Sus scrofa: one gene and its partner. The protein of the gene in region 1 interacts with the protein of each later gene in a biochemical or structural test. Links are inferred from orthologs where the notes say so. Each region holds a gene or a part of one and is shown on either strand. Other genes may lie near its edges. The genes, in order: MC4R and POMC.

Region 1 (16,392 bases):
TTATGAGATTTATAGAAAAATCCACATATGTTGTTTTTAATGAGGCCATTTTGCAATTTTAGTATTACAAATAAAATACATTTAAATTGAGAAGTTGAACTTTTCACAGAGAAAATTTTAACGTGTTTTTTTCTGCTCAAGCGGAATTATAAACAAATTTATTGTTATATTTTTACTTTTAAATTATATTCAGTGATGGTTTGAATTTAAAAGTGAAATTTCTCACACTGTTTCAAATGCTAGGTTTGAAATCAGACTTCGATAGTGTCATTTGCAGCTGAGTCTCATACAAAACATCATTGAATGGTTCACTGATTGAACTACTGAAATTTTCCACTTGGCTCTGTATTTGAGGGGCTTCCAGATGTCTTTAGGCAGTGAAAACACTATTAATAATTGTAAACTATGATTACTAATTTCATTAACCCAGGGCCCAATTCAGCCATGACTATCATAGATCAAAACTTTTATCTTTCCCTCCAAAGTGGAGCATTAAATTGTGCTAGGAATCCTGTGATTTTATTCTGTGCAAATATAGTTTTGCATTTCCTTCTCAGTAAGCACATTGCAAAATAAATGCATTATATTCATTTAAGATTCATGTAATACTGCATATATAAAAAAGTATTTATTTCTAAATTGTGAAGCATAATATTAAATTATGCATAAAACCCATTATTCAATAGAAGAGCTAGAACATTACTGAAGCCATCGAAACACTCTGTGTCTACCTACCCAATTCCACCTACTACCTCCCTTGAATTATTTTGGAGTGTTCAAAATTTCTTGGCGTTCCCCTTGTGACTCAGCAAGCTAAGGACCAGACATTGTCTTTGTGAGCATGCGGGCCTCCCTCAGTAGGTTAAGGATTAGGCATTGCCACAAGCTGCAGTGTTGTTTGCAGATGCAACTTGGATCTGGTGTTGCTGTGGCATAGACTGCAGCTGCAGCTCCAATTAGACCCCTAGCCTGGGAACTTCTGTATGCCACAGGTACAGCTGTAAAAAGAAAAAATTCTTTACACTTAAAATAATAAACATAGTAGTAAAAACAGATTGAAATGGATTCCTGTCTCTCCATGCTAGGGAAGTGAGGGTAGCCAAGAGAGTATCACCATGTAACTTCTTCTAGGGTCTATGCTCCGATAACCTTTTGAGCACAATTTGACAGATCATTAAAGTCATAGATATCTATAGTGACAAGCATTATATATAGGACTAGATCCTTTCAATCTACTAGGAATTTTATATTATCTAAACTTTATCATTCAATATATGATTAGATTGTGAATATCTTTATTTCAAAGATTAGATTATAGGTGCTTGGGAAATTTGCCCAAAGTTCTAGAGCTGGTAAATCTGAGATTTTTTTTTCTTTTTTCTTTTGCTTTTTAGAGCTGCACATGTGGCATATGAAAGTTCCCAGGCTAGGGTTGAATTGGAGCTGCAGCCACTGGAGTATACCACAGCCACAGAAATGGCAGGATCCAAGCTGCATCAGTGACCTACACCACAGCTCATGCTGGATCCTTAACCCACTCAGTGAGGCCAGGGATGGAACCCACATCCTCATGGATACTAGTTGGGTTTGTTACTGCTGAGCCCCAATGCAAACTCCCCGAAATTTGAACTCAATATTCCCCTGGTCCAAACTCCAAACCCTTTAATCAAGCACATAGGGCTTTGATCAATACATGATGAACTAATAGGTGAGCATCAAGATGTGACTATAAATCATTTATGGTTCTTTTTCAAGGGCTTACCTTTTTTTTTTTTTTTCTGTGCCCATGGCATGTGGAAGTTCCCAGGATGTAGACTGAACCAAGTCCACAGCAGTGACCCAAACAGTGATAATGATAGAAACTTAATCAGCTGTGCCATGAAAGAACTCCTCAAGAATTTACCTTTAATATCAGCAACATCAACTTAAATAACATTATTGTTGTACCACCACAAATTGATGGCATAAAGTTTAATGAGTATCAATCTTTGAAGAAGTGAGTGGATTTTTTATGTTTGCATGTTATCTAAGTAGGCTTTTCCAGTATTGAATGTGGCATTGAAAATTTTAAAACAATTAGCACAATTGGTGATAAAAAGTTACCCTCTTAGAATAAAGGTATCCTGGAGTTCCCATCGTGGCGCAGTGGAAATGAATCCAACTAGGAATCATGAGATTGCAGGTTCGATCCCTGGCCTCTCTCAGTGAGTTAAGGATCTGGCGTTGCCTCGAGATGTGGTGTAGGTCGCAGACGCATCTTGGATTCCGTGTTGCTATGGCTGTGGCATAGCTGGCAGCCATAGCTCCAATTGGACCCCTAGCTTGAGAACCTCCATATGCCATGGCGTGTAGTCCTAAAAGAAAAAAAAATATAATACAGGTATGCCTGTGGATCTACTCTGTTTAAATATATCCATTTATACAAAAACTTCTGTCAAAGTCAAGGAAACTATTAAATGTAGTTTAAGAAACAATACACAACTAAACCCTATATATATTTATTAATAATGTTGAGTAACAGCAAAATTAGTCTTCATTCATGCATGGTTTTATTCATTTAATTTTATTCTTATAAATACCAATAGTTATTATTGAGCACCTATGTGGATTGGGCACTGTTTTGTTGAACTTTCATCTTTGATATTATCATCGTCTTTTGTCCCTTGAAGATTAACATCAGGCAGAGATTGTCATGCATATTTAACAATAAGAAAACTAACTTCAACAAAATCTCACAGATAAAATTGGTGTACCCATAACTCAGTCATAGGTCTATATGACTGAGAAAACCATGCTTGTTTATGGAAGAAGGCTAATAAAATTTGGTACAGGGAAACCTTAATGGGAGTCAAGAACTGGGGTTTCAGGTTTTGATGCTGCCACTGATTTCACACGTGACATTAGACAGTATCTCTGAGTGTTGGATGAGATGATACCTAAGATCTGCTCTTGTTTGAAACTAACTCTTGCTCCACAAATCATTGGTAATTTGGCAATTACATTTCCATCAGCCATCTTCTATTGTAATGCTTGTGTGTGCTTTTTAAAAAATGAAAAAAAAAGAAACCTTAAACATGTTCATTGCAGTAAATTTATATAATAGAAACACACTCAATAGGGAAAGTAGACATGCCCCTTAATATTATTACCCAGAAATGATGACTACTGATTTTTTGTGAATTATTCAAAGTGAAATGTAGGAGAAATATAAGTAGGTTAGGGGTACTTTCTTTAGATAGTTGGTAACATATTAAATATTCTTGTTTTTATATTCCTTATAATATAAGCCAGAAGTTGATACTTATTTACATGTTATCAAGTAATTATTTAGAAGTGTTTTAGTAATTTCAAAATATTTAGTTTGGGCAATAGAAACTTTTTTTTCTTTTTAGGGCCACACATGTGGCAAATGGAAGTTCCCAGACTAGGAGGTGAATCAGAGCTGCAGCTGCTGGCCTACACCACAGTTCACAGCAATGCTGGATCCTTAACTCACTGAGTGAGGCCAGGAATTGAACCTCTATCCTCATGGATAGTAGTCAGGTTTGTTAACCACTAAGCCACAGTAGGAACTCCCAACAGAGATTTTTTTGAAGCAGGTGGAGACTCTCTGGAGTTTGGGACTTATAGAGTCTAAGTGTCATGCTAGCTGCTGAGTGGGCAGAAATGCAAAATGCAAACCTTGTTCATATGAGTTATGGTGATTGCTGTACAACTAAGTCAACAGTAAGTCTTGAAAATCACTCATTTCACCAGTGAAAAGCCATTTCTGATATACTTTAATTGGACTTTCTGGTGAAAATTTCAATAAAGTTATCTGATGCTTCTTACCAGATACTTTTGAAATACATAGACCAGACCAGCATAATGTATATGCTAACTAACCAATATTAAAGAATAGACACATGTGTCGCAGTACTTATACTGAAGTTTTTAAAAGCTGCCCTGCTCCTTGATATAAATTAAAAACTTATGTCCACACACAAATGTTTATTCATAATTTTTTATTCATAATTGCCAAACTTTGGAAGCAACCAGGATATTCTCCAGTAGCTACATAGATAAATACACTGTTACATCCATACAATGAAATATTATTCAGGACTAAAAAGAAATGAGCTACCAAGCCATAAAAAATGTGAAGGAAACTTACACGCATATTACCAGGTGAAAGAGGCCAATCTGAGAAGGTTATATACTATATGATTCCAAGTATAGGACATTCTGGAAAAGGCAAAACTATGGAGGCAATAAAAGGTTACTAGTTGCCAGGGGTTAGGAAAGAAAGAGGGATGAATAAGTGGAGCAGAGAGGATTTTTAAAGCAGTGAAACCCTTCTGTATGGTGCTGTAATACATGACATTCTACGTTTGCTAAAATGCATAGAATGTGCAACAACCTAGGCATGAAGTCTAATGTAGACTGTGTACTTTGGGTGATGATGATGGCAGAATCTTGGTTTTACCAGAGAAAGAGGAAGTAACATAATAGAAGATTGTTTGGAGAACAGGAAAAAATGCGTAAGATATGGTTTTAGCCCTTAAAGAAACTGAAGCCTTATACTGTGCCCTGGGCAGATAGGGGAGGGTGGCAGGGAACTCAGGTTCATGACTAACACTCATCCCATCTCTGTGAACTGCTCTTGGAGGAGTTGTGAAAGTCAAGGTGAGGGAGGCTGATTTCCTTTCTGTGGGAGAACTGGGCTGGTTCTAAGCAGCATCTGAAATGACCCTGGATGGAGAAATAGAATGGACTGGAAAGGGTGACCCCACGGAAAATGCTCATCTTCTCTTCTGTATCCCCAGTCGCCGGGATTCCTCAAGTTACTACATAAAAGAATGGAAAGGAATAGTAACAAAGACAAAAACACTTTTTACGTCCTGCTACAACTTTGGGTTCTGTTATTTTAGTCTTTATTTAAATCCTCACACTTAGTGTAAAATAGAGGAATTGCGGTAATCAAGCTTCAGTACGACCTTTCTTGTGTAAACTTTAACTTCACCATTACATTTTCAAGTAATCTTCCCACATAAATGCTGAAAGTGTTACTCTCGACTGGCTGTCAATATATGTAAAGCATTTAGATTTGAATTAAGAAATACCTTTGCACTTTATCTCAGACCATGAGGATTTGAGGACACTATAAATTAAATCAAAGGATGGTTTACTGGTAATCCTCAGCCTAATATATTTTCTCTCTTAAAGTACATGCAAGTTGAAAAGTACAGGTTGTATTGCTCAGTAGCCAATTTGGAGCAAAACAAATGTTTACTCACTAAAGTATGCTTGTGGAAGGCTAATTTGTGTCATGTCGTCCTCTGGGGTTTGGGCAATACCTTTCTTCCTGCTTGTCATGTACCAGCATCAGAAGTTCCCTTATTTTACATATCTTACAAATATTGCCTGAAAATACCTGTGCGATAGATTTAATTTTAAAAGCTAAAATCCTTGATAATGAGTATTTCAACTTCTGTTCAGAAAATAAGCAATAAGACTATAGCAAGTCACTTCCATGTGAAAAGTGAAAGAATTCAATACTGATTTTGTAGGTTGTTTTTAGAAAGTAGGAGCCAGTGAATATATGTATAACTGATTGACTTTGTTATATGTCTGAAATTAATACAACTTTGTAAGTCAAATATATTCCAATAAAATTTTAAAAAATAAAGAGAAAGACTCCAGTGTAGCACCACCTTTTCTGGACATTTTAGCAGACTCTGGGTCCCTGGTTAAAGGGGCAGAAAGACCTTTGTTTTTATTAGGGGGTGGTTAGAATAGTTTGATATGAGTTTAGCTTGCCATGCTCTTAGGTTTCCCAGAACACTTCAGTACCCATAGCTGCTATTTTTCTCTCCCAAACAGTTGCCTGTGTGGAATATCAGACAGTTTGCTTGGGCAAACTAATATCTCTGTCTTTGAGAAACATAGTTTTCAAACTCAAAATATCCCCCCACTTTTTTTTAGTAACTGTTTTTCTCCCAGTAGAAGCTTCATTTCTCCTTCTGCACAGGGAGAATGAGCATGTTTTATTAAATTAGTTGAAATTTCAGCTTATTTTTTAATGATTAAACACTTGTTTCAGTATTTCTCCCCTCAATGCTAGAATCAAACCTCTACACTTCAGCGTTGTATAGTGTAATATTAGCAACCATTTATTAGGATATATTTAATGAAACTGTGATTTCCATTTTACTAAAACAAGCAATGTGTCAAATCCTTTCGAATGACAAGATACATTAATTAACTTTTCATAAGGACTTTTTTCTTTTTTATAAATCCATTGTGCCTATAACCTGTAGTATAGATAAACATTTTACAGCCAAAAGGTAGCAAGACCTTAAAAATACACAGAGACTGAGCAGAATCACGAACTTAAATTTATACAATAGAATGTCTCAACTGATGCCTTACAAGAAAATGCTGTTGTTGAAGCATATTGTCCAGACTGTGTAAGGAGAAAGTCTCTTATGCTTGCATTTATAAGTCTCCTCTGTCCCCATTTAATATCTGCTAGACAAATCACAGAGGCCACCCAGGGGATAGCAACAGATGATCTCTTTGAAGGTTTTCCTCAGTTCTTGGCTCCGGAGTGCATAAATCAGGGGATCGATGATGGAATTACACATGATCAGGATGAGATACAAATTAAAGTGAGACATGAAGCACACACAGTATGGATTCTGGGGGCAGGAGATATAGAATATTAAGTGGAGGAAGAAGGGGGCCCAGCAGACCACAAAGACCCCAATCAAGATGGTCAGGGTAATTGCCCCCTTCATGTTGGCACCTTGGCGGATGGTGCCAGTGCCTGGGAGGACGGCGATCCTCTTAATGTGGAGTCTGGCCATGAGGAACATGTGGACATAGAGAGAAGCCATGAGAGCCAGCATGGTGAAGAACACGGTTATGAGGCAGATAATAACAGCACTGCTATCTGAGTAAATGATGAACAAAACACCCGACACCGTGCAGACTGCCCAGATACAACTGATGATGATTCCAACCCGCTTAACTGTCATAATGTTATGGTACTGGAGAGCATAAAAGATAGTAAAATACCTGTCCACTGCAATCGAAAGCAGGCTGCAAATTGAGGCGAGTAAGGAGCTACAGATCACTGAGTCAATGACATTATCAATATTCACTGTGAAACTCTGTGCGTCCGTGTCCGTGCTGTTTAATAGGGTGATGACAATGGTTTCTGACCCATTGGAAACGCTCACCAGCATATCAGCCACAGCCAGGCTACAGATGAAAAAGTACATGGGTGAATGCAGATTCTTGTTCTTGGCTATGGCCACAATCACCAGAATGTTCTCCAACAGGCTTATGACACCCAGAGTCACAAACACCTCAGGAGAGACAAAAAGTTGCTCGTAGCATCCTCCTTCAGAGTAGCCTTTTCCAAGGGGCTCACTGGCATTGCTGTGCAGTCCGTAGGTGCTGCGGTTCCAGAAGTGGAGAGAAGTATGCATTCCATGGTGATGGGTTGAGTTCATCCTGCGCCAGGTGGGTTGAGATCCCCTCTGACCTGATTTAAGCTCCTGGGTCAGGTAGCCTCAGCGATTTTCTCCAAGTCTTTATCTGTCTGAAAGTTATGAGGCTGAAATTGGAATGCCTGTTGTGAATAAATATCACATGCTCCGAAGCTTGAAATGGAGTTTTTAGTCTCTTTCAGGTAGGGCTCTGATTAGCATCACTTTGAAATCTTAGGCTTCAAGACGCTCATTCTCTGTCGAGTCTGCTGTTTGATATTTTGTTCTCACTTCCACTTTAACTTTAGTCTTAATGCATTCAGGTCTTTTCAAAATAATTTTCCTAGCGGCTGCTGTGCTATTGGGAGAAGAATGAATCTGTGTGCGCATGCTCAGATCAGCTGCCTCGCAGAGAGAATCAGTTCCCAACCTGAAGCTTTGCTGTGAGTGTTAGTTGCCTCTGTGATTTTTATGGTGTGTGAAGGGGAAAAAAAAATGTGCACAGTGGCTCCTCCTCTGCTTCTTTCTGACCAATCCAAGTCCTGGGGAGTCTGTGAGACACCGATTATGTTCCAGAGATACAAACTGCTGGGCAGCGCTGATTCAGATGCAGAAGCGTGTAGAATCAGGAGGCACAAGCAGGCTGTGATACACTGAATTTCCCTTTTCAAGTTTTCAAGGAAAACAGCTTGGTTTCTAGAGGACATTCTTTTATATCACAACAAGCCCTTTTTTGAGGCACCCAGGTTTATTACTACTTAAAAGGAGATGTGTGTGTGTGTCCTGAAATAGATACACACTGCCTTTTTGGCCAGGCTATTGAATTATTTACCCCTCAGTTTCTTTGAATTTAGAGCAAAGGAAGTCATGCTCCCATTTAAAGTAGTTGAAATATGGGGAGAATATTTAATAATACAAGAGACTATGTTATAGATGGAAGACTAAGTAGGTAGCTATAGTTTATCAGAGGGCTCAAGAAGGAGTTTGTTTCTTATGCACTAATACCTGCTATTTCTGCATTGCAGAATCTCTTTTACTGTAACTGGAAAAAATTTTATTTTCATTTACAATATTTGGAAACTATTTAGAATTTGGGATTCCTACTCTGGCAGTGGGTTAAGGAGCCATTGTGACCTTCGCCACAGCTGCAGCTTGGATTCAGTCCCTGGCTGGTGAATTTCCATATGCCATCTATGTGTACAAAACAAAACAAAAAAAAACTATTTAGAATTAATGTAAACTGTGTTTACTCTGAACTCAGAAAAGGATCAATAACTAGGCGATACTCAGATTTTTTTTTAAGCATTAAAGAATAATTGAATAAGGAAGCATTTAAGGATAATTGGGTATACAAAAAATGGCCATATGTAAGACATACATTTTAATGATTCTGAACACATGCATATATTCATAATGCATCACAATCAAGGTACTAAGCATATTTATTCATCACCTCCAAAAATTTCCCTGTATTTTTGTGGGGTTTTGTGTGTGTGTGTGTGTGTGTGTGTGTGTGTGTGTGTGTGTGTGAGATAGAATAACACTTAACTTGAGATCGGTGTTTCCACAACATATTTTAAAGTGCCCAATACTGTATTATTAATAATAGGCATTTGTACAGCAGATCTATAGAACTTACTCATCTTGCATAACTGAAACTTCATACTCATTGGGCAACAATTCCTTGACGGTAGTCTTGACAATGATTTCCTGGAATTAGCACCAAAATTACAAGCAACAAAACCAAAATATAGACAAGTGGGATTACATCAAACAAAAAAGCTTCTGAACAGCAAACAGGCAACAGAATGAAAAGGTGATCTACAGAATGGGAGAAAATTCTTGTAAACCGTCTATCTGGTAAGTGGTTAATATGCACAATATGCAACCAAATAATAAAAAACTAAATAATTCAATTTAAAAATAGGCAAATGGCTTGAGTAGACATTTCTTCAAAGAAGACATACAAATGGCCCCACCAGATGTGTGAAAAGGTGCTCCACACACTAATCAACAGGGGAAGAAAAGATCAAAACCACAATGAGATATCAACCCACCCCTGTTTGGATAACTATTATCAAAAAAAAAAAAAAAAAAAAGATAAGTGTTTGCTAGGATGTGGAGATTTTGGAATTCTTTTTTGTTTTTTTTTTTTTAAATGTAACCTATCTACTTCATTAGTTGAAGGTTTTCTAGATTAAATTCACACATACCTTGGCAACTGTACTTATTAAGATGAGAGGATTCTAGTTATATATCAGAGTTTCCGAATGTTTTGCTAAAGCTAAGTTTGAAAGATTATGAAAATATACTTTTTTTTTTCTTTTTATGACTGCACTTGCAGCATATGGAACTTCCCAGGCCTGGGGTTGAATCAGAGCTGCTGTGTTAATGCCAGATCCATAACCCACTGAGATGGGCCAGGGATTGAACCCAAAACACCCATATCCTCACAGACAACATCAGGTCCTTAACCCCCCAAACCACAATGGGAGCTCTGATAGTTTTCAAGTTGACTAAACTCCAGGTTATGAAATTTTATGTAGTTTTTTTTCCTCTTCTGTGACTATTTTTGGTTTTTTAGCTCCGTTGTCATTTGTGGCTACTGATAAAAGGAAAAATAAGAAAGAATTATTTCAAAATTAATTTTAATTACCCAATTATTTAAGTAAGGGCTTTATCTTCTTTCCCTTTTGTGACAGAAGCAATATTAAGTATTATTCCTGAGTATTGAGTTAAATTAATGTCTTCCATCTCTCCCTGGAATTGGCTGGCACTAAATTCTAGTTAATGGAATGTGGGTAGAGGTGAGACTATTGTTCTCCCCTTCATGAGGTTCCCCAAGTTTTTCCTCCAGTCTCTTGGCAGATGACTGTAGAATGCCTTTGAAACTTCATGTTGTAGACGTCAGAACTATGTCATGGAAAGAGCCTGAGCCTCTGAATAACTACGCAAAGCACATACCCCAGCTTATCAAGGACATTGAACTGTGATCCAGGCAAGCAATAAATATTGCTGCATTAAGCTGCTGAAATATTGGTGTTTACCTGTCATAGCAGCTAACATTAATTACCTTAACTTTGAAATGTTTTAAGGGAGCTTTTTATAAGCAGCAAACTCAAATTACATGAAAATCCTATCTTTCCCCCATTTTGGGTTTGTGTGAGGGGTGAAATACCTAGTAAGTACATAGTAGGGAAGAAATTTGTTGAATTAAGTCAACTCTGTATGACTTCCTCCTCGAGTCCAGCTTTTACTTTGTGCTCTGTACTTCTCTTGGTGCCATAATTGTTCCATTTTCTTTTCTTCTTCTTTTTTTTTTTAAATCTTTTGTCTTTTGAGGGCCGTACCCGCAGCATATGGAGGTTCCCAGGCTAGGGGTCTAATTGGAGCTGTACCTGCCAGCCTATGCCACAGCCACAGCAATTCCAGATCCGAGCCGTGTCTGTGACCTACCCTGCAGCTCATGGCAGTGCCGAATCCTTAACCCACTGAGTGAGGCCAGGGATTGAACCCATAACCTCATGGTTCCTAGTCGGATTCGTTTCCGCTGTGCCAGGTTGGGAACTCCTTGTTCCATTTTCTTAGGCTTAAAATTTAGAGTATCTTTGCCTTGTCCATCTTTCTCAAAAATTCCTACATGAAGTCACTTGTGAAATACCTTTGATTCTACCAGTGGGTCTGACTCCTCTTTTTCTTCTTAGCAAACTCTCTCCTTACTATTCTCCATCATGGAAACTTCCTTGCAATCAAACTTGCATGCATGATTGCATGCACACTAGACATTTTCTTATGAGTTTATTCCCTCTGCTCAGAATACTCTTTCCCTATATTTGTGAAAGCATAATCATCGTTATGTGGAAAATATTATAGTTCATATAATTATGTAATAGATAAAATTAGTATTTGAAAACAAAATTCTTTTCTTTTGGCTTTTCACCAAAAAAAAAAAAATAAGGTATTTCATTTACAGATAGTATGATCATAGTTAAATCATAGAAAACCATATACATTTAAAATGTAAAGTTTAATTATTTGCTATAGATTTATACCTTGATTAATATGGTTAATCATGCTGAAAAGACAACATTTTGTCATCTCCAAGGAGGAATTTTAATTGTCTGGCATAGGTTAGTTCTATAGGAGCCAGAAGAAATACAATCAGCAGTGCCAGACAAATTAATGGTATTTTTAAAAATTTATTGCAGATTTCTTTTTTCTAAGTACACACAAAACTGAGTTAGATCAGAATATATTTTTCTTATGAGAATAATCCTTATTTTACATTTTATAATAATAAATATGAACTATTGTTCAAGAGGAGTATTTATCAAACTATACTACACAGAATATTGTTTTTAGGAGATGTAAATGTTATTCCCACCACAGAATAAAAGGTCAAAGAATTCTGGAAAACATTGCAAACTCATTGCCTTCCTAGAGTTTCAGAGTTTACATTAGCATGTAAAGTTTCTGAAATTTCTTACTAGAAAAAAATTTCGATATTACTTAATACACTTATTTTCTACACATAGAACCTGTTTTATCTCACTTATTTTTCAAGTACTTATTACACTCAATTCTGCTGTAACAATCGTTTTGAAAATGCAAATTTGTTCCTAACTTGATTGAGATATCAGAAAACATTTTGAGCACAATGCAAATATTGTGTTTGTTGTTATATAGTTTTGTACTGGATAAACACTATGTGAATGTGGAAACCTATACCCAGCTGATCCAAGATACAAGACACACACATTGAACATTTACCAGCTACCTCAGTCCATGGCATGTGTTATGATGCACAGCAATTTGGTGTTATAACATCTTGTGAGATTTTAGGCACGCTTTCCTTTATCATTTTATAATGACTCACAGCTATAACTCTGCTAAAACTCACTTTCTTAAGCAAACTGCATGCAAGTCTTTTTCTAGGTACAGTGCCATATTTGTTGTAGGTTATGGTTTTCTTTTTTTCTGGTTTATGTATTTTTAACTATTAAACATGTGTAATTGTATCCTATTGTGGTGTTTTTTTTTTTTTTTTTTTTTTTTTTTTTTTGTCTAAAAAGGGCCATGCCCAAGGCATATGGAGGCTCCCAGTCTAGGGGTCAAATTGGAGCTGTAGCTGCTAGCCACAGCCACAGCCACAGCCACAGCCACAGCAACGCCAGATCCAAGCTGCATCTGTGACCTACACCACAGCTCACAGCAACACCGGACCCTTGACCCACTGAGCAAGGCCAGGGATTGAACCTGTGTATTCATGGTTACTAGTCAGATTTGTTTCTGCTGAGCCATGAGAGGAAGTCCTTTCCTATTGTTTTCATTAGGTTCCTTTCCTTTTTTAATGTCACTGATGAAGTTCATGAGTGTTTTTTGTGTAACCCCTCTAAACCCTAGTTCTTGGGTTGCATGATTTCATGTAGATGCTGATTTTTCGGACTATAAAATGTCACATTACAGAAGAACTAAAGGTAATATGATTTGGAACATATAGTTTGGGAAACATTCATGTAGTAAATTATTCTGACTACAAAATTCTTACTAATTTAAAAGTGTTCCATGATTATTGTGTGCAACATGAAATAGAATCCTTATTTATAAAAATGTATCTCGTGTCTAATTCTTGTAGATTATTAGTGATTATGTAATCATGTGTTAATGTAAGCATTTTATTGTCTGTCATAAAATAAAAATGATTTTTCATTTTAGATTAGGATATTTATCATATATTTTATTATTTTTATTGAAGTGTAGTTGATTTATACCATTGTGTTAGTTTCAGATGTATAGCAAATTAATTTAGTTATATGTTTATATATATTTTTTCAGATTCTTTTCCATTATAGGTTATTACAAGGTCTTGAATATAGTTTCCTGTGCTATACAGTAGATCCCTGTTTACTTATTTTATACATAATAGTGTGTATCTGTTAATTCCCAATTCCTAATTTATTTGTCCACTTCCTTCCCCTTAGGTAACCATAAATTTGCTTTCTAAATCTGTGAGTCTATTTCTGTTTTATAAATAGGTTCATTCGTGTCAGTTTTTAGATTCAATATTTAAGTGATATTATATGATATCTATCTTTTTCTCTCTGATTTACTTCACTTAGTATGATAATCTCTAGATCCATCCATGTTGCTGCAAATGACATTCTTTCATTCCTTCTAACGGCCAAGTAATATTCGTTATGATATATTTTAAAAGTTCTCTAAATAATGTTGCGAGGACTATAAACATTTTTAGATTGAAATCTGTGTTCATAATTATTTTTAATAGAAAACATGTTCTCTATTGCATTAATTTTGGTATAGCATTCATTTGTTTTCAAATTTTTCAAAATTAGGTAACACTAAGCATAATAACTTTCATTAAAATACTTTGAATCCTAATAAAGTATTATTAAAATATTATCTTTATAAAATTTATACTGTGAAATAGGAATTTATTTCAAAATATTATAATTTTTTTCTTTAAAAAAATCATTCTCATTTGGCTTATAATAATAGCCTGTATATGATTTTGATGGCTTTATCTTAAATCCCTTCCTGGTTACTTAATTTTCCTTTCTTATTTTAATCCTTCTATTAACTAGTATTTTACTGAGCACCTACTCTACTTCAGGAATAGAAGCAAATAAGTCGTGCTCTGCCATTGAGGAACTTCAGTGTAGATATAATCTAAATGAGGGGACTAAACTGCAAGATAATAATTCCTACACTTTGTCATCAGTGATGTAATAATAGCAATTAGTAGAAATAATCTCTGCTTGGGTTGGCCTTAACTTGTTTACTGGACAGTTTTGTTGAGAAGGGAATTGGAAGAAGATAGGATATAGCTGGATGAGAGCAGTGAGGAGGGCTAGATTTTAAGGTAGATGGAATAACTTCTGCAAAATCAGATTGTATTAAATGATATTTCAAATTTGAGGAATGACAAATACTTTGGCATGGCTGGAGCCCACAAGGGTGAGGCATAGAGAAGTCTGGAGATAGTAGGAAGGGGCAGGTCATCTTGGGCTTTCCATGTCAAGCTGAGGATCAGAACTTCACTTCCTTGGACTCTGTTAAGGACATTTAAAAACTTTGAATGAGGCCCACATTACCTGCAGGATAAAGAGCTTCAAGACTCTTTAAAGGGATAACATGATAAGATTTAGGAAAACACAGCATGGAATTATACAGGGTAAAGGTAAGAATTTACGATACTATTAGATAATTACTAAGATACTATTACAGCAGCCCAAAGAAGAGTATGTGAAGACCAGAGGTAAACCAATAGTTGTTCTGCTATGGATAAGACTACCAATCAGTCATGAATGGAATGAGGAAAAGAAAGGAATTCTCAATGCCCTCCATTTTTTTGCCTGGGTGAATGTGTGGATATTGGTGCCATTAATCTGGTAGGCACGTTGACTGGCTCTCTCAGTCTCCATTTCAACTTCCTTCAGTTTGGAGCTCAGAAAGCTAAAATCTACCTTGCCCAGATTCCCTTGCTGTCTGAATTCTGTCTGTGAGTTATATTTTCCCAATTAAATATATTCTCAAGAGATTTGGAAAACATAAATGAGACAGAAGCCCTTCTCCTGGAGCCCCAGCAGCTGGCTAGCAGGATCTGCCAGATGTCAACTTTGGCACAAGGTGACTCCTTCAGGTCACCCTCTTTGTGAATCAGGAATCTCAAGTCCAGCAGTATCTCCTGATCTGTGGATTGCAGCTCAAGTGGTATAAAATTTGAATGAAATGAAATAATTGACGGTTTATAAGTATTTCAAAATTTTGTAAGCACCTATTTCCCATATCAAGTCCCCTTCAACTAGATGTACTGAGAGTATGTCTGTTTTCTGTACTAAATTATGATTGTTACACTGATTAAGGAACCTTTTAAGAGACAAGATACATTTAGTTTTTAAAATCTTGAAATTGAAGTGTTTTTGAGACATGTAAATGGAAATATCTATTTAGCAAAGATGAGTAGAGAGCCAAAAAGAACAATCTGGTATAATGACACATATTTTGGTTGTAGTGGATATAGGCTGTATTGAAAACTGTAGGCTTCTAGTAGACTGGGAGAAAGTGGGAATTATGAACAGAATCATAAGGAACATGTTTACTTAATAGAAAATGTAAAAATAAAAATAGGTAAAGGAGACTATTAGTCTGGGTGTTCTGGAAAGAAGATAGGATTGAATGCGTTTGATTTTACTGAGGAAAAGACTGGGGGTAAAAATGGAGAGAGAGCCTAGAACAGCTGAAAAAAACAGACAAATCACAAAAAGAGCCTGATCTTGAGAGAGGAGAGAGGGAAGAAAGGCTGTGTGGAAGCATCCTAGACCTGCCATGAAGTCTGAGGAAGGTTGGCAAGAGTATTGGGTAACCCTCAAGCTAGACCTACCTTTCAGAAGTGTCCCATGACTCCCAGTGATGGGCCTGATTCAGCATCCCTGCTGTGTATAGGGAGTGGCTGGGAGCACCTGTGGGAAGCTTGATCTTAGAGCAAGTGTGACAACAGATTTCAGAGAACAGTAGCTGGGGCCCTGAGTCGGTTAAGCTCCCCGTATTTAGAGGTCTGCTGGGCTATTTTCACCACTCACATGGAGTCTGAGAAGTGGTCAAGTGGCTGAAAGAGAACCAAGAAACAGTCAATGGACAACCAAGGCATAAAGAGTACAAAGGAAATAGAATGGGCAGTAGGTGCCAACCCAGCAGACCTGTTGAGTGAAACCAGAATCTTTTTTTTTTTTTCTGAAATCTCTGTCATCACATTTTGACAAAAAAAAATGAAAACATATAGTTCTTATCAGATCAGTAAATTCTCAGTAACCCTAAAAACACTTTAAAATAATATACTGCTAATGAGGTCTATTATAATAACTTTATTTTATGTGTATGGGTAAACATTTTTAATTAC
Region 2 (16,531 bases), on another chromosome or scaffold:
CGTAATGCCTTTTTATTGATGAGAATTCAGGGGTAGTTGGGATTTCTTGCATCTGCACGTGACCTTTACCAGAATCCCCTTAAGCACTGTGAGCTGGGGCTCTGGAGGCCCCCAGAGAAACTCAGAGAGGTTAAGTAACTTGCCCAAGGTCACACAGCTCCTGGTTTCCTCCTCTAAACCTGGCTGAATGGCACCAACCCCCATCGAGCAGCTCAAGCCAGAAATCTGGAACCATCTTTAACCGCCTCTGTCCCTTGGCTTCACTTTCATATTTGCTTCAAGTCTTATTGAGTCTGGCTCCCCAAGAGGCTGTTGGTTGCTTGCTCTCTGTTTGGTTCTCCAGACGGTAGCCAGAGCCACCTTTTCTAGGAATTCTATTTGAACCTGTCGTTCCATTACTTAAAACCCAGCAGTGGTTTCCCTCTGCGCTTGACAGAAGATCTAATTCGTCGTCGAATGACCTTCACAGCTTCCAAGGCCAGGCCCCTCATGTCCCAAGGATTGCTCTCCTCCCCTGCTTCCACTCCAGCAGTCCTTGGAATCTCCCATCTTTTCTGCCCCAGGGCCTTTGCACCCTCTTCCTTCTGCTAGGAAGCCTCTCCCCTCCCCTTTCTCACTCACTCACTGTATTTATTAGAACTTGTATTTATCATAGCTTGTGATTATTCGTTGGCTATTATATTACTGATTTCCCTAGAGCTAAATCCTTTTGGGAGCTCAGACCGGATCTGTCCCGGCACCTGTAAGGGTCCACAAACTTTTTTTTTTTTTTTTTGTCTTTTTAGGGCTTTTTGGGCATATGGAAGTTCCCAGGCCAGGGGTCCAATCAGAGCTGTAGCTGTTGGTCTACACCACAGCCACAGCAACGCCAGATCCGAGCTGTGTCTGCAACCTACACCACAGCTCAAGGCAATGCCAGATCCTTAACCCACTGAGCTAGGCCAAGGATTGAACCTGCATCCTCATGGATACTAGCCATGATGGGAACTCCAACAAACATTTGTTAAGTGAATGAATGACAGAACCAAATCTGGGCCCTCCAAGCCAGGGCAGAAAGCACTGTGGGGGTGCCCACTAGGGGCCTGGCACTGTGGGCAGTGCATTGAACAGCAGTGGCTCCAAAGTGTGTCAGTGACGTCCCACCCCCCCCACCCCCTTTCCAATCCTCCCAGTCTGCTTCCCCAGCCCTGCACCTAAATCCTGCCTGACTTCTTTCTCTCTCCCTTTCTCCCCAGCATCTAGTCAGACCCCAAAGTCTAGCCAATGTCCTTTTCTGATCCTTCCCTCCCAGGGCCCCTCAGCTGGTCCCTTCCTCTCCGGGCTCTCTCCCTCTCCTGCCCTCCCTCCCCTCCTCCATGGCTGGGGCAGAGAGCCCCTGCCCAAAGCCTGGTCACCCTTCCCACCTGCTGTGTGCTGCCCTCCTCTCCGCAGTCCCCTGCCCCCCCCCCCCAGGCTCTAGTCTGCTCTGCGTTCCCCAGGAAGCCCCTCTCCCTGGCACCCATAGCACACTGGGCAGGAGGCTCCTCCTACAGACGGTCACACGGGGTCCTTTTTTCTTATCTCTCGAAAGGAGAGGTGCCTGGGAGGCGAGAAGCCTGCAGCAGCTTAGCTCAGAGCCACCCCAAAGCTGCAGTCCCTGGGCTTGGGCATCCAAGGAGGGTTGAGCTTCTCCCCACGCCTTCCCACCATCCCCACCAGACACACACGGAAAGGGGCAGGTGGCAGCTGTTTCTAATTCAGACACATCGTGCGGAGGGACATTGCCGCTGTTTCAGGTGCGGATTTGGATGGAGGGTTCGAGGATTATGAGCTTCTGCACACCGACGCTTCAGCGGGGCTCCCTTCCTCGGTCGCTCCCGCCAACCCTCTCTCTCTAAATCCTGCTTGAGCAGCGATTCTGTCCAGGCACCTTGCCAGGGACTTCTCACAGGCTGACTTGGGCCTGGTCCCCTTGCAGACCTGAGGCCCCTGTGACCTAGACAATGGCAGGCATGGCATGTTCCCTCCGGCAGAGGCCCCAGCTGGGCCCAAGGAGCCCTGAGAAGGGACAGTCATTCTGGCAGCCTCCTGGCTTGTCCTCGCAGCTTTGCGGGGAGGGGAGAAGCGGAAGGGGGGCCGGGATGGAGCTGGGACTTCCTCCCTCCTGCCTCACTCTGACCCTCAGTGTTTGCGCTGGTGCTGCTCCCACTCTCTGTGCCACGCAGGCCGATGGCAGCCTCATCCCTCAGTCTTCTCTTCCCCCAGAGAAGTGTCTGCCAGGGCCTGGAGACTGAGGGCAAGGCTGGCCCCCACCACCGCCCCCCGCTGGGGACTCAGCCCCCTGTCCTTGTCGCCCTCTGCCCAGCGCTTCCTCCCCCGCCCTCCGCGGGGGCTGCCCCCGCACCTGTCTTTGTAACGCACTCACACCCTGGTGATATCGCTTTTCCAATTAAACCCTCAAAGGTGAAAAGCTGGGGTGACGAGAGCAGCCCTGGCCCCGTGCCCACAGCCAGGTGTAGGCGCGTCACCCCGGCCCCAGGAGCTGCAAACCTCGCAAGGACACGTGGGCTCCTAATCCTTCCCCCTTCCCTTCCTCCTTCCCTTTCCCCTCCCTTGTTCCCTCTCCCTCCTCCCTCTCTGTGTCCCTCTTTCCTTGGCTCCAGGCTGGGCTCTTTTGGGACCAGCCCTTCCTTAATAAGGATGGGGCTGCCTACAGGGCAGGCCCTGCTCTGCCATCTTCGTCTTCACGTGTAATTACCTCCTTTCATCTCATGGCAGCCGTATGGGCTGCTGCCGTCATTTCCTTCATTTCCCAGATGGGACCACTAGAACAGAGAAGCTGGGAGTTTGCTCAGAGTCACACAGCACGGGAATGAATGAGCAGGGTAGGACTAGGCTGTGTGGCTCCAGATCTGTGCTCTTACCTGTGACACCACGTGGTGCCAGCATGCAGCCAGGACAGCCTCAGACTGGGGTGTGTCCACGACTCCCTCCTGCATGCTGATGCCACTGCTTTAGTATTTCATGAACCTGCCTGTCGCCTCTCCCGCCTCACTGCTCCCACCAGGCCTCTGGCCCCGGAGCAGGGCATTGGGCTTCTGATCTCCCCCTGCTGCCCCCAGGCTCTGAGCATCCCCACTGCCACAGAAATCTGCTCCTATGGCTCCTCTGATTCAGTCCCTAAGTGGTCCCCACCTCCGCTCTTGCCTCTGACTCTAGTCTTCTCTGTCTCCCTCTACCCCTGCACCAGCTTCCCGGGAACGTAAGGTTTTTCCTGCTTGAGTCCTTTGCACGTGCTGTTCCTTCTGCCTGGAATGACTTTCCTCTCTTCATCCTGGTGACCTAACGCAGCATCCCCTTCTCTGGGAAGCCCTTGCTGGCCATCCACCTCCTCTACCTGGCAGAGAAAATCACCTCCAGATGCGTGCTTGGAAGGCCTGAGCCTATGGTGAGAAGTCTAGCTCCCCCAAGGCTGTGGGCTGAAGAGGTCACGGGGCAAGGCTGCACAGAAATAGAAGTACCTGAGGAGCCCCAGCTCTCCCTGCTTCCAGCTGAGTCTTCCAGCCCGGGAACAAGTTATGGGAGTGAGCAGCTTGAGATAATTTGCAGAAGCCAGGCTTTGAGCTGCCTAGGCTGATGCCAGGTAGAGCAGAGGTATGTTGGCCTTACCAAACCTTGCTCATACTGCAGATTCGTGAGCAAAATAAACATCAGTGTTTAGAACAACAAAGTTTTCAAGTTCTTGCTGTGGTGCAGGGGGTTAATCTGATTGCAGCAGCTCAGGTTGCTGCAGAGGTGTGGGTTCAATTCCCAGCCTGGCATCGTGGGTTAAAGGATCCAGTGTCACCTGTTAGTCATGCTTTGGTATCTTTTAATCTGTTTTTTTTTTTTTTTTTTTTTTTTTTTTGCTTTCTAGGCTTGCACCCGTGGCATATGGAGGTTCCCAGGCTAGGGGTTGAATCATAGCTATGGCTGCTGGCCTATGCCACAGCCATAGCAATGTGGGATCCAAGCTGCATCTGTGACCTACACCACAGCTCACAGCAATGCTGGATCCTTAACCCACTGAGCAAGGTCAGGGATCGAACCGGCAACCTCATGGTTACTAGTCAGATTTGTTTCCACTGCACCACAGCGGGAACTCCTCTTTTTTCCTGTTTCTATCTCCATCCATGTTTACAGTCATCCCTCTGTATTCTCAGGAGATGGGTTCCAGGACCCACCAAGGTCACTAAAATCTGCAGATACTCAAGTCCCACAGTCAGCCCACTCTCCCCGCAGCCCCACACCCGTGGTCTCACCGTGGTCATGTAGCACGGTAGTACGAATTCATTGAAAAAAAAATCCAAGTATAAGTGGAGCCATGCAGTTCGAGGTTCAACTCTGTGTCTATATTTTATCGCATTTCCTTCCCTTCATAACATGCAGTGGTCATTTCTCATGTCTGGAAATAAACATCTACATTATTTTGAATGGTTGCAAAGTATTTCGTTGCAGAGTTTTACCATAATTTTGTAAGTATAGTATACGGTTTTAATAATTACACCCTAGATATTTAGTTTATTTCCATTTTATTGCTACTATAAACAATGTTGTATGAATAGTCTTGAACAGCATTTAGGGTAACTATAGATATTTCCTCAGGAAATTCTGGGTTAAAAGGTAAAGGCTTTGGCACAGAGAGATTTCACTCATCTTCCCATGGCTTTTCCTACAAGTCTCCTCTGTCTGTAACCCCTTCTTTCTTGGAAGAGGAAGGCTCTCTATTCTTTGGAAACTAGGTTATTCCTCTGGACCCCATCTCATTTCTACTGAAGTCCTGGATTATTTGGCTTTTCCCACTCTCACTGGCAGCATCAATTTCCACTTCCCATCACCATGCAACTATGCTCTAGTACCTTGCTGCTGTCTTTATCCCCGATCCTATATTGTGCTCCACCTCTGGCCCACATTCTCCATTAGATCTCTATAAAGAGTTGTTTTCTTTTCTTTTTTTTTTTTTTTTTACACCAGGACCGAAGGGAGAAGTAGCTGAATCCACAAAATTAAAGGGGAAATTTAAACGACATAATGTATTAGTAACCAATAGAATAGGATAATGATCAGAAAGGATATAGCTGGGAGTTCCCGTCGTGGCGCAGTGGTTCACGAATCCGATTAGGAACCGTGAGGTTGCGGGTTCGGTCCCTGCCCTTGCTCAGTGGGTTAAGGATCCGGCGTTGCGGTGAGCTGTGGTGTAGGTTGCAGACGCGGCTCGGATCCTGCGTTGCTGTGGCTCTGGCGTAGGCCGATGGCTACAGCTCCAATTCAACCCCTAGCCTGGGAACCTCCATGTGCCGCGGGAGCGGCCCAAGAAATAGCAACAACAACAACAACAAAAAGACAAAAGACAAAAGACCAAAAAAAAAAAAAAAAAAAAAGAAAGAAAGGCTATAGCTATAGAAAGGATATGGAATACTTGAGCAATCATGGAATACATATTCTTGTGATGTTTACATGAAACATTAATCATGTGTTCATCCATTAAGCAACATTCCCCACCCCCAATTTCAAAGGACTAAAATGAAACAAAGTATGTTCTTTGGCTGCAGAGGAATTACGCTAAATTTTAATTTCAAAACAGAACTAGAAAATCCCCAATGGTTGGAAGTTAAACCGAACGCTTCTCTACAACCCACAGGTCAATGAAGACATCTCCATGAAAATAAGATATTTTGAACAAATGGTAATAGAAATAGGACATGTCAAAACTTGTGAGATGCAGAGTTACCACTGTGATGCAATGGGATCAGCAATGTCTCTGCACACCAGGACAGGGTTCGATCCTGGGTCAGGCAGAGTGGGTTAAAGGATCTGGCATTGTTGCAGCTGTGGCATAGGTTACAACTATGGCTCAGAGCTGATCTCTGTCCTGGGTAATTCATATGCTGTCAAACAAAAACAAAAACAAAAATTTGTGAGATGCAACTAGAACCATACTTAGAAAGAAATTTATAGCCATAAATACACATCAAAAAGAATAAAGATTATCAATTGAATATCAGTTATCTAAGTAAAAAGCATTTATTTAAGATTCAACTCAAGAGAACAGGAAAACAAAAGAGCTAATTAGAAATTAGAAGACAAGAAATAATAAGAGTAGAAATTTCAGTGATAGAACAAGATGTACATGCAATGGAGAAAAGTCAACAAAGTCAAAATTTATTCTTTAAAAATACTAATAAATTTGTTAATCCCCTAAGAAAATTAATCAAGAAAAAAGAGAGGGGACATAAACTACCAATATCAGAGATAAAAGAGGACCATAACTACAGATTCCATAGATATTAAGATAAGAAAATATAAGAAACAAAGTTAAGCAAATAAATTTTAAAAATTAAGTGAAATGGACAAATACCTAGAAATACACATCTTTCTAAAACTGACACAAGAAGAAATAGACAATTGGAATAATGCTATTTAAATAATTGAATCTGTATTTTAAAATCATTTAACAAAGACTTAGCATCACTAACAAATCATCTCAAACATTTAAAGAAGAGATTAACACCATTGGACACAAATTCTTCTATTAAATTGTAAAAATTAGGGGTGGGCGGAGGGCTGTCCAACTTGTTTTATGAAAACAGCAAAATTTTGACACCAAAATCTAACAGGAACTCTACAAAAAAGGGAAAATTACAGGCTGGCCTCATAAACATGAATGCAGAAATGTTAAATAAATTATTAGCAAAATGAACCCAATGCTGTAAGCACATCATAATCAAGCTGGGCTCAATCCAGGAATGCATGGTATGTGTAACACCAAAAGTCGACAATGTCATTCACCATGTTACCAGAATAAAGGGGAAAGTCATGTTATCATCTCAATCAGAGGCAGCTACTGCAGGCTTTCGAAGAGGAGGTGGTGATGCCGTGAAATAGTGGTCAGTCCTTTCTAGTGACGTCAGCCAAAGTGGGAATGACAACCTCCCATCCTGGGGATAGAAGTGACACCTATGTCAAATGGCTGTGGTTTTGACAGTGTGACTTTGGCCTCTCGTTCCCAGCAGTGTGATTTCTTTCTCATTGGATCCAATCAGTAGCCATGATTCCAGTCACTTTTCTTCTCTGCCCAATTTTGGATCCTGATCGCCCAGCCTTCCCAGTGATTCTAAATGTGATTCAATGGCCTTTCAGTTCATATCAGCCAAAGGTGGTTCTGCTGCATGTAATTAAGAACTCAACTTAGGGAGTTCCCGTCGTGGCGCAGTGGTTAACGAATCCGACTAGGAACCATGAGGTTGCGGGTTCGGTCCCTGCCCTTGCTCAGTGGGTTAACGATCCGGTGTTGCCGCAAGCTGTGGTGTAGGTTGCAGACGCGGATCCCGCGTTGCTGTGGCTCTGGCGTAGGCCGGTGGCTACAGCTCCGATTCAACCCCTAGCCTGGGAATCTCCATATGCTGTGGGAGCGGCCCAAGAAATAGCAACAACAACAACAGACAAAAGACAAAAAAAAAGACAAAAAAAAAAAAAAGAACTCAACTTAAAGAGGACAGAGGCTGGGTCAGTCTGAACTTTTCCTGGTTTGGCTTTTCTGCTGTCATCAGTTGCTTTTTAAAGTTATAAAAATAGGCGTTCTCTTGTGGCACAGTGGGTTAACGATCCAGCATTGTCATTGCAGTGGCTTGGGTCATGGTTGTGGCATGGGTTCAACCCCTGGCCCAGGAACTTATGCAGGCCACAGGTGTGGTGAAAAACAAACAATAAACAAAAAGTTATAAAAATAACACAGAGAAAAGTGAGATAAAATCGAAATCCGATAGAGAGGGCTCCTAAGACTGGTAGTGGAAGGGGCAGGAGGGGGTGGAAGAGGGAAGACAGAAGACAGAGTGGAATTTGTTCCAGCTGTGAGGGTTATATGACCAGATGAGATGGGAATGGGGTTCTCCGGGAAACAGAGACGGCCATGTCTCATGCCCTGGTAGGACAAGTGACCAAGGAGGGCATCAGGGAACAGGTGGTGGATGAGCTAAATCTTTTTTTTTTTTTTTTTTTTTTTTTTTTAGGGTCGCACCGGCCGCATATGGAAGTTCCCATACTAGGGGAAGCATCAGAGCTACAGCTGCTGACCTATGCCACAGCAACTCAGGATCCAAGCTGCATCTTCGACCTACACCACAGCTCATAGCAATGCCTGATCCTTAACCCCCTGAGCGAAGCCAGGGATCGAACCCTCATCCTCATGAGTACTCGTTGGATCATTTCTGCTGCATCATGCCGGGAACTCCAGATGAGCTAAACCTTAATGCAAAAGTCTAATTTTCCCAGGTGGCTGGAAGGAGGAAAGGTGTTTTAGTGGAGGGACCAGTGTGGCCAAATAGACGGAGGTGCGAGAAAATAGTGTTCAGGGGGATGTAAACGCTGTGGTCGGTCGACGTGCCAGGATACAAGAAGGGGTGGCAGCTCTTTGGGAAGAGGCCAAGGCCAGGTAGCAAAGTACCTTATTTACTGTTAAGGAGCTCAAATCTCTCCTGTGCCTCAAAAGGAAAGGGTTGCTGATTATAAAGCCACTGTCACCAACCAGAACTTCTCAAGGGGGTCTTGGCAGCCAAAAGAGCATCTGATTGGGAATAAAGGAAGTTCCTGCAAAGGACATATTAAACAAGCATCTTGATATGAAGTCCAGTTTCGTTCCCAAACTCCCTCCCACCCCTACCCCTCATCCCTCACAATTTGCTTTGGCTTCTTTTCTCCAGGCTGAGACTCTTCCATTGAGTGTTGGAGAGCATTCTTTTCACCCTGGCCTGACAATTGGGGCTGGAGCCAAGCTAGAATGCCAAGACCAGATCTGGGGAAGACGGAGAGTCCTCAGACCACTCTGCCAGCTCTTTGGCACAGGAAGGGATCAGAGGCCAAAGGGAAGGTACTTCAGCTGCTTTTCACAGAGAATTCCCTCCTTCCCCCATGCTAGGGTTAGCCGTATTTCTTCCTTAGGGTTTAGGGCACAGGAAGGAGCCTGCCTGGACTTGGCCCTTGCAGAGGAGGCCCCAGCCGGGCAGTGCAACTGGCTTTCACACCCCAAGAAGGCAACCTGACCTGGCTTCAGGTGAGCAACTCCCGACCTTCTCCAGGAGCCAGGGTTGCGGGGTGGGGTTGGGGGGGGGCTCAATCTGTAACAGAGGGATTATGACATTTTCCTGACATTTTCACATCACAGGTTCCTAACGTTGGGGGGAAATCTGAGGCATTGCAGGTGTTCTTTCTTAGTTCTTGATTTACCACCAAATGAGAAGGAGGTAGATGCCAGCTCAAGCACGTTGTGGACACAGGTAACTTCAGCCTCTCTTCAACGACCTCAGCAAGCTCCCTAGGCCTGCCCCACACTGGGGTGCTAAGCCTCCCATTTGTCCTACCTGGAGACCCAAACCATCCTTAATTAAGTTCTTTCCTGAAGGCTGCCAGGTGTGCCCTTCAGCAGAACAGTGTTAATTCCAGCCTCCGGGAGCAGAGATCCAGCCCCCTTTCCGGGCACTTCTGCTCTGGCGCTTAGCCCCTACCTGGAACCCCCCCTCCTGCGTCCCACGGCCCCCCTTCCTATGGATGGGGGAGTTGCCTGTTACGCGGCCGCTGCCGGGAAGTTCAATCACTTCCAGCGCCCACCTGGTGGAGCCCCGCAAGTATATAAGGACCGAGCAGAGACAGCGGGACAAGGCAGCGAGAGGGAAGAGAAAGAGGGGAAGAAGAGTGACCAAGAGACCGCCGAGTTTCCTGCCTCGGCGCAGCGGGAGTCGCCCCGAGAGCAGCCTCCCCGCGACAGGTAAGGGCGCAGCGGCGCGGCATCTGCTCCTCTCCCCGGACCCTCTACCCTGGCCCTCCGGATGCTTTCGCCCAGCTTCGATCTCAGACTAGAGGCGCCTTTGGCTCGCCGCGATCCTGAGTTCTTTGAAAAGTTTCTGTCCTGGGTGCGGTGTGGGAAGCTGCTGGCAGCGGAGATGCGAGAGCCAGCTTCTGGACGGTGGGAGAGCAGCTGCAAGGCTGACAGTGGTGCCTTCCAGGAGCCGGGGCTGCGTCTCCTCCCGGGAGGGGAGCTGCTTGGACCCTTGAGATTCCTACTGCATTCTGAGGAGATCTTGGGAGACCTAGTCTTTCAGGTCTTCTTCTGGGTAGATGTCACTGAAAATATATCCTATCCTCTAGAGTAAATTAACATTGGCGATGGGGGCAGAAGAGACTAGACTAAAAGTCACAATAGACTCCTTGCAGTCCAGACTTTTTGGATTCAGATCTCTGAATCCTCCTTTCCCTGCCTACTTTAGTGCACCTGAGATGGCTGCGCTATGATACTGACAAGGTCTCTACAAGACCAGTTGGTGTTAAAAAGAGGTGGCGAAGATGGGAACTGTCCACGGTCCTGAACCACCCCATCTCTGCCCGCAATAGGACTGCAGAGTGGACCTTCTACCCCGCAGATCTCAGATTGCAGGGCAGAAGTGGCAATAGGAACAGAAGGAGGCTCAGGCCAGGTGGGTTCCCAGCGAGGGAGAAAGAGTCTGCAGGGTATCTGGATCCCCCAAATTCTTCGTGTATAAACAGGGAGATGGTGATTCTCACAGAATAACTGGAAGGAGCCAAGGGAAACGAATGTGTGCATTTGTTTGGTCCATTGTTAAGATACAGACAGATTGTAGCCTGTTTAATGACTTAATGTTCCTTTGACATTTTGTTTTAGGGCTTGATGCATGTGTATCGTGGTACAAGGACAAAACTCTACACCTCGGCTCCTCTAATCTTTTTTTTTTTTTCCTTTTAAATCGGAGTATAGTTGCTTTACGGTGTTGTGTTAGTTTCAGGTGTAGGGAAAAGTGATTCAGTTATACACATACATATATTCATTCTTTTTCAGATTCTTTCCTTACATAGTTTATTACAGAATATCGAATAGAGTTCTCTGTGTAGATCATTTGTTTGCGCTTCTTAATCTCTATAGAAGGGCATGGGCCATGTGCAATTTTAGAGTAACAAACAAAAGGTTTTTGGCTCAGAGAGAATTCATCAACACATACAAAGTTCTTATAAGTATAGTTCTATTTTAAAGTTAATGTTAAGATGAGCAAAATACAAATTTCTAGTTATTTTTCCAAGCTTTCAATTATTGGATGCTACCTATCTACAAAAGTAATTTGCCATCTCCACACTAATTTATTGCTTTAAAAAAATGACACAAGGTCATATTTGGTTATTGTAGAAAAAATAGAAAATGCACATAAGCAGAAAGAATACAAAATGCTTTCAGGAAGCTATCTAACTTTTTAGAAGGAGGCTGCAGGATCCTCTACCTCTCAGGGGAGTAGTGAGAATGTCATAGCCAGCGGGGCTCTGGGGCTTTTTGGGAAGGCCTGAAATCACGAGGTAGCTTTCTTAGAAAATGGAAATCATTCCAGAATGGCCAGTGCTCTGAGAAATGAAATATAGTTGAGGGGACTGTCCAACCTGTATGATTTTCCTACTTTCTCTACCAATACATTATTTTGCACTTGCCCATAGTGATATATAAAACAACCATTTATCTGCTTTGCTTGTAAATCTGAGTATTTTTTACTGACTGAAATGTGCTGCGTGTTCTCAGAGCTTTAATCCAAATTGCTTTGTCCACAAAGTTCAGTACTCGAACTGGGGCACCAAAAATCTGCAACAGGAGCAGACTGTCCCTGGTCACAACTGGACACCAAGGTTGACCAATGTTCTCCCAGTTGCCCATCAGCCTGAGATGCTAAGGGACTGGCTCACTGGCTGCCAGCACCATCTAATGGCTGCTCCGAAAACACTCAGGCAGCACTTGGCAACCATTCAGAAGGGAGCCCTTCAGGCTCAGCGTTTGGGGAAAGGAGTGGGGTGGGACAGAGAGAAGGGAGTGGCTTCCAGAAATAGGCAATGAGAGCCAGGGAGAACTTTCACTTCCAAAGCCACCCCTGTAAAAAATATTTGGCCCATGCCTCCCCAAAGATGAGATTTCTTTAGGCAGCTATTATGAATCAGGAGGGACAATACATCATCCATAACTGACTGTGAATCACTTTTCTTATCTAATTAGTTTCTTCCTAACAGCTGGTGGAAAAATCTTCTGAAATCCAAAATGATTTTGGGGTTGTTCTAAGATAACAACAGAACTCCAGGTCATTTCAGAGGGGTGAACTTTGTGAGGTGGGACATGTCAGTGTGAGAGCTAGAAGGCTAGGGAAAGCGTTGGGCACAGGGGCAAAGGGAAGCATCAATTCTCCCCTCTTCATTGCATCCTGACCTCTTGAGTTCAGCCTCTGCCCAGAGGTACTTCCTGACTCCTCTGAGAAATTGTCTTTGTAGGGGTTACAGTGGAAGGTAGTTCCCTTCTGCTCTGAGCCGCCATCATGTTCCCTTTCACATCTACAGCATCTTCAAGTCCACCGTTTCAGACTACATTTGAGAGACTCCGAGAACAAGAGGAGGTGTGACATGTAATATGTTCAAGAGATGAGCTGATTTTAAAAGAAGGGGGTCTCTTTTAAAAAGAAATCTCTTCAAGGATACAGGGTCTGAGAAATAGTGATCTCCTGAGTGATCGGTGTCTAGGACATTCAATTGGATTGGCTTGGGTTTTGGCTACATTGGCCAGAGGCTTTGCTCTTTTGCAAACTTCCTATTCATGGGAAATGGGGTTTCTGAGCAATGATAGAATCCTGGCAGAGGAGGAGTAGACCATTTTGAGCAGGAGTTTCAGAATTCTTTGTCTTTCCCAAATTAATCTTTGGACCTGGAGCGACAGAACTCTAGCTTCCAGAAGATGGTGAAATAGAAAAGCTTGGTGCTGGAAACAGAACCTTAGCCTTGCCTCATCATGAACCCCCAAGTCATACATTGTCTCTCTCTGGACCTCAGTTTCCTCATCTCTCAAATAAGAGGCCAGGCCAAATAACCCCGAAAATAGCTTCCAGCCCTAATAGCCTTTGGAGTCTGATTTTCAATAGGAGGTAAAGGGGAAATTTTGCCTAGTTCACCCAGGTCCCACTGTTCTCATCTCTGCCACAACTCACACGACCACCCTGCACACCAACCTGCTCCTTGGGCAGCTCCTGTCCTCAAAAACCCTTGAGCTCCAGAGGTAGTGTATTGTTAATGTTGGCTCGCAGTCCTTCCTGATCAGTGGCCAACATTGTTCTGCTCCTTGCAGGGGTCCCACTAATCTTGTTTGCCTCTGCAGAGCCTCAGCCTGCCTGGAAGATGCCGAGATTGTGCAGCAGTCGCTCGGGGGCCCTGCTGCTGGCCTTGCTGCTTCAGGCCTCCATGGAAGTGCGTGGCTGGTGCCTGGAAAGCAGCCAGTGTCAGGACCTCTCCACGGAAAGTAACTTGCTGGTATGTGGGCCATGGCTGCCATCTTGGTTTGGGTATCAGATGGGACTGGGACTGGGGCTGGGGCTGGGACAGCACAAAGAAAGGTGAATGGGGAGTTCCCGTCATGGTGCAGTGGAAACGAATTTGACTAGGAACCATGAGATTTCAGGTCCAATCCCTGGCCTCACTCAGTGGGTTAAGGATCCGGCGTTGCCGTGAGCTGTGGTGTAGGTCGAAGATGTGGCTTGGATCCCTGCGTTGTGGTGGTTGTGGCACAGGCTGGCAGCTATAGCTCCAATTTGATCCCTAGCCTGGGACCCTCCATATGCCTCGGGTGTGGCCCTAAAAAGACAAAAAAAGAAAGAGAAAGGTGAATGGGGAAGGGAGATAGGTCTAGTCCCCAATTTCTGCTTATCTTTACTTCCTGCCCTCTCTTCTTATGGAGACCCACTTCATTTAAGCTACGTAGAGATAGTGCCATTAAAATAAATAATACTAACAACAATAATTGCTCCTCAACTGATTCTACATTTTCAATATTTTAACCCCCCAAATTATCCCTTTTTAATAACCTCCTATCACTTGCCATTTTCATTCCATTTTTCATCCTTCTTTATCTACTATCAGTTACAAAGCCGGCTACGTAGTACAACAAACCATCTCTAGAAGGAGAAGAAAAGGCCTGGGTGCCATTTTCTTCTAACTGGAGCCAAATGTCCCATGCTTCTGATGGAGGGCTGACCTCCTCAGCCTTTTCAGAAGCATATAGAGGCCCTTTATGCCAGCCTGGAACTCCCTCCAGGTCACCACAGTGTATGTGTGTGTTTGTATTGGAAGGCATAAATGAGAAATAATACCAAGTCAAGGCTAAAAGATATGCTGTGTTTGTGACCAAGTTCTCACCTGCCTGGTGAGCATGGGATGCTCATCACAACATTCTGTGTATTTTGTCAGTAGAGAAGCTGAGTTTAAGTGAAGAGAGAGACTTTTCAAAAACAGAGCAGGTTGCGTATGGAGTATAAAATAGAAACAAAGAGCCCAGAGAGTTTTGTGAGCTCTAGTTCAGAGAGACCCAAGAGACTCTTGATTGGAGACACCCATTGCACAGCCTCTCCTGTTGAGGGCTCACCAGGGAAGGAGCACTGGCCATGGTCAGAGTCCATGGGTTCTAGTCCCACTTCTGCCACCAATGGGCTATGGAACCTTGCCAAGTTCCTTTCTCCTCTCTGAGCCTCCTGTTTCCTTATGTGTCCAGGGGAGAGACGTATAGATAATTTTTGTTTTCCACTGTTAATATTCTGCAGTGTTACAATTCTCAAACCCTTGACTATGAAATTCCCAGCTCAACACTGGGTGGGATCCTTCTGTTTCCTCCCTAGTTGTCCTGAGTAACTGAAAAGGCTATAGCCTAGAGGTCGTTTTCCTGAGCAAAGATGTACCAGAGTTGAGATGTCTACTAACAGGGAGCAGAGACACAGGCTCCACGACCTCTGCACTGGAAATTATCCTGACTTCCCACCTTTTCCTCCAGTCAGAAGGAGGTGACAGGGAAGGGAGCCACCTCCTCCCAAAGGTCACTGGTTGGGCAAAGTACAGAATTAGCTCAGAAAACTTGAAAGAACCAGAGAAAGTGCCAGACAGGTGCGGGCAGGTTTGGAGGGAGATGGCTCAGGTAGGGCACGAGGTAGGTTTGCAGACCCCCCGGGGTAACTTTGAGGCGTTACTGAAAATACAGCCCTAGAAGCCAGACTTCTGCTTCTCCCACCAGGGATGATTCTCCCCTGAATTTCAACCCAATGGCCTTCCCAGACTCGAATGAATCATGTTTATTTATTCAGTATCCACTAAGTGCCAACAACTACCACCCACCTGCCATTTATTAATGAATTCCTAGATATCTGATATATAATGTTTAAGACGCTGATCCTGCCCATAAAAGCTACAGGAAAAGTAAAACACCGAGCGGGCCGGGGATTTTGTCGGAGCTGCCAGGCAGAGGTACCGGCGTCCAGGGACAAAAGAGGCTGTGCTCAAGTCGAGACTCAGACGTCTGTGGGTGCCCAGAGGCGGGGGCAGGCAGACGTCCTGGGGCTGGGAGCCGATCTCGCACCCGCGCGTGCTGAAGGGACGGAAGGAGAGGGCAGTGGGGCGCCGGGTCCTGATTTGCCCACCGCTCTCCCGCAGGCGTGCATCCGGGCCTGCAAACCAGATCTCTCTGCGGAGACGCCCGTGTTTCCCGGCAACGGCGACGCGCAACCGCTGACCGAGAACCCCCGGAAGTACGTCATGGGCCACTTCCGCTGGGACCGCTTCGGCCGCCGGAATGGCAGCAGCAGCGGCGGCGGTGGCGGTGGCGGCGGCGCGGGCCAGAAGCGCGAGGAGGAGGAGGTGGCGGCGGGCGAAGGCCCCGGGCCCCGCGGAGATGGCGTCGCGCCGGGCCCGCGCCAGGACAAGCGCTCCTACTCCATGGAGCACTTCCGCTGGGGCAAGCCCGTGGGCAAGAAGCGGCGCCCGGTGAAGGTGTATCCCAACGGCGCCGAGGACGAGTTGGCCGAGGCCTTCCCCCTCGAGTTCAGGAGGGAGCTGGCCGGGGCGCCCCCCGAGCCGGCACGGGACCCCGAGGCCCCGGCCGAGGGCGCGGCCGCCCGGGCCGAGCTGGAGTACGGGCTGGTGGCCGAGGCCGAGGCGGCCGAGAAGAAGGACGAAGGGCCCTATAAGATGGAGCACTTCCGCTGGGGCAGCCCGCCCAAGGACAAGCGCTACGGCGGCTTCATGACCTCCGAGAAGAGCCAGACGCCCCTGGTCACGCTGTTCAAAAACGCCATCGTCAAGAACGCCCACAAGAAGGGCCAGTGAGGGTCAGGGGGCAGGCGCCTCTCACCCCGGAAGCCGACCCCAAAGCCCCCTCTCCTTGCCTGCCCTCCTGCCGCCTCCAGCCCGGGTACGCTCAGGCTGTGTGGGCGCCAGATATCCCGCCTCTTACCTGTAGTTAGGAAATAAAACCTTTCAAGTTTCACATCCGACTCTGACTTTGAGTATTGACTGGGTGAATAAAATACAAGTACATATCCATCAAATAAAGAGCTGCACGTATTGAAGGAGAGAGTGGTTTCCATGGGACCGGGTAGTAGTGGTATGTTTCATAGGACACAGTGGGAATGAAAAGAAAAGGTTCTTCCCTCCCTGCCCCAGTAAAAGTGTCTTT

What was found.
Region 2: the proteins of MC4R (region 1) and POMC form a complex in vitro, tested with the Homo sapiens proteins (2 studies listed by BioGRID). The link is inferred for Sus scrofa from reciprocal best matches to the Homo sapiens genes MC4R and POMC.

What each region holds. Positions count from the first base shown.
Region 1 is NC_010443.5:160,763,653-160,780,044, reverse strand, and holds MC4R (melanocortin receptor 4), read right to left. Parts: upstream 8,033-16,392; 5' UTR 7,500-8,032; coding exon 6,501-7,499; 3' UTR 5,921-6,500; downstream 1-5,920.
Region 2 is NC_010445.4:113,652,210-113,668,740, forward strand, and holds POMC (pro-opiomelanocortin), read left to right. Parts: upstream 1-9,502; 5' UTR 9,503-9,561; coding exon 9,562-9,778; intron 9,779-13,195; coding exon 13,196-13,347; intron 13,348-15,510; coding exon 15,511-16,182; 3' UTR 16,183-16,349; downstream 16,350-16,531.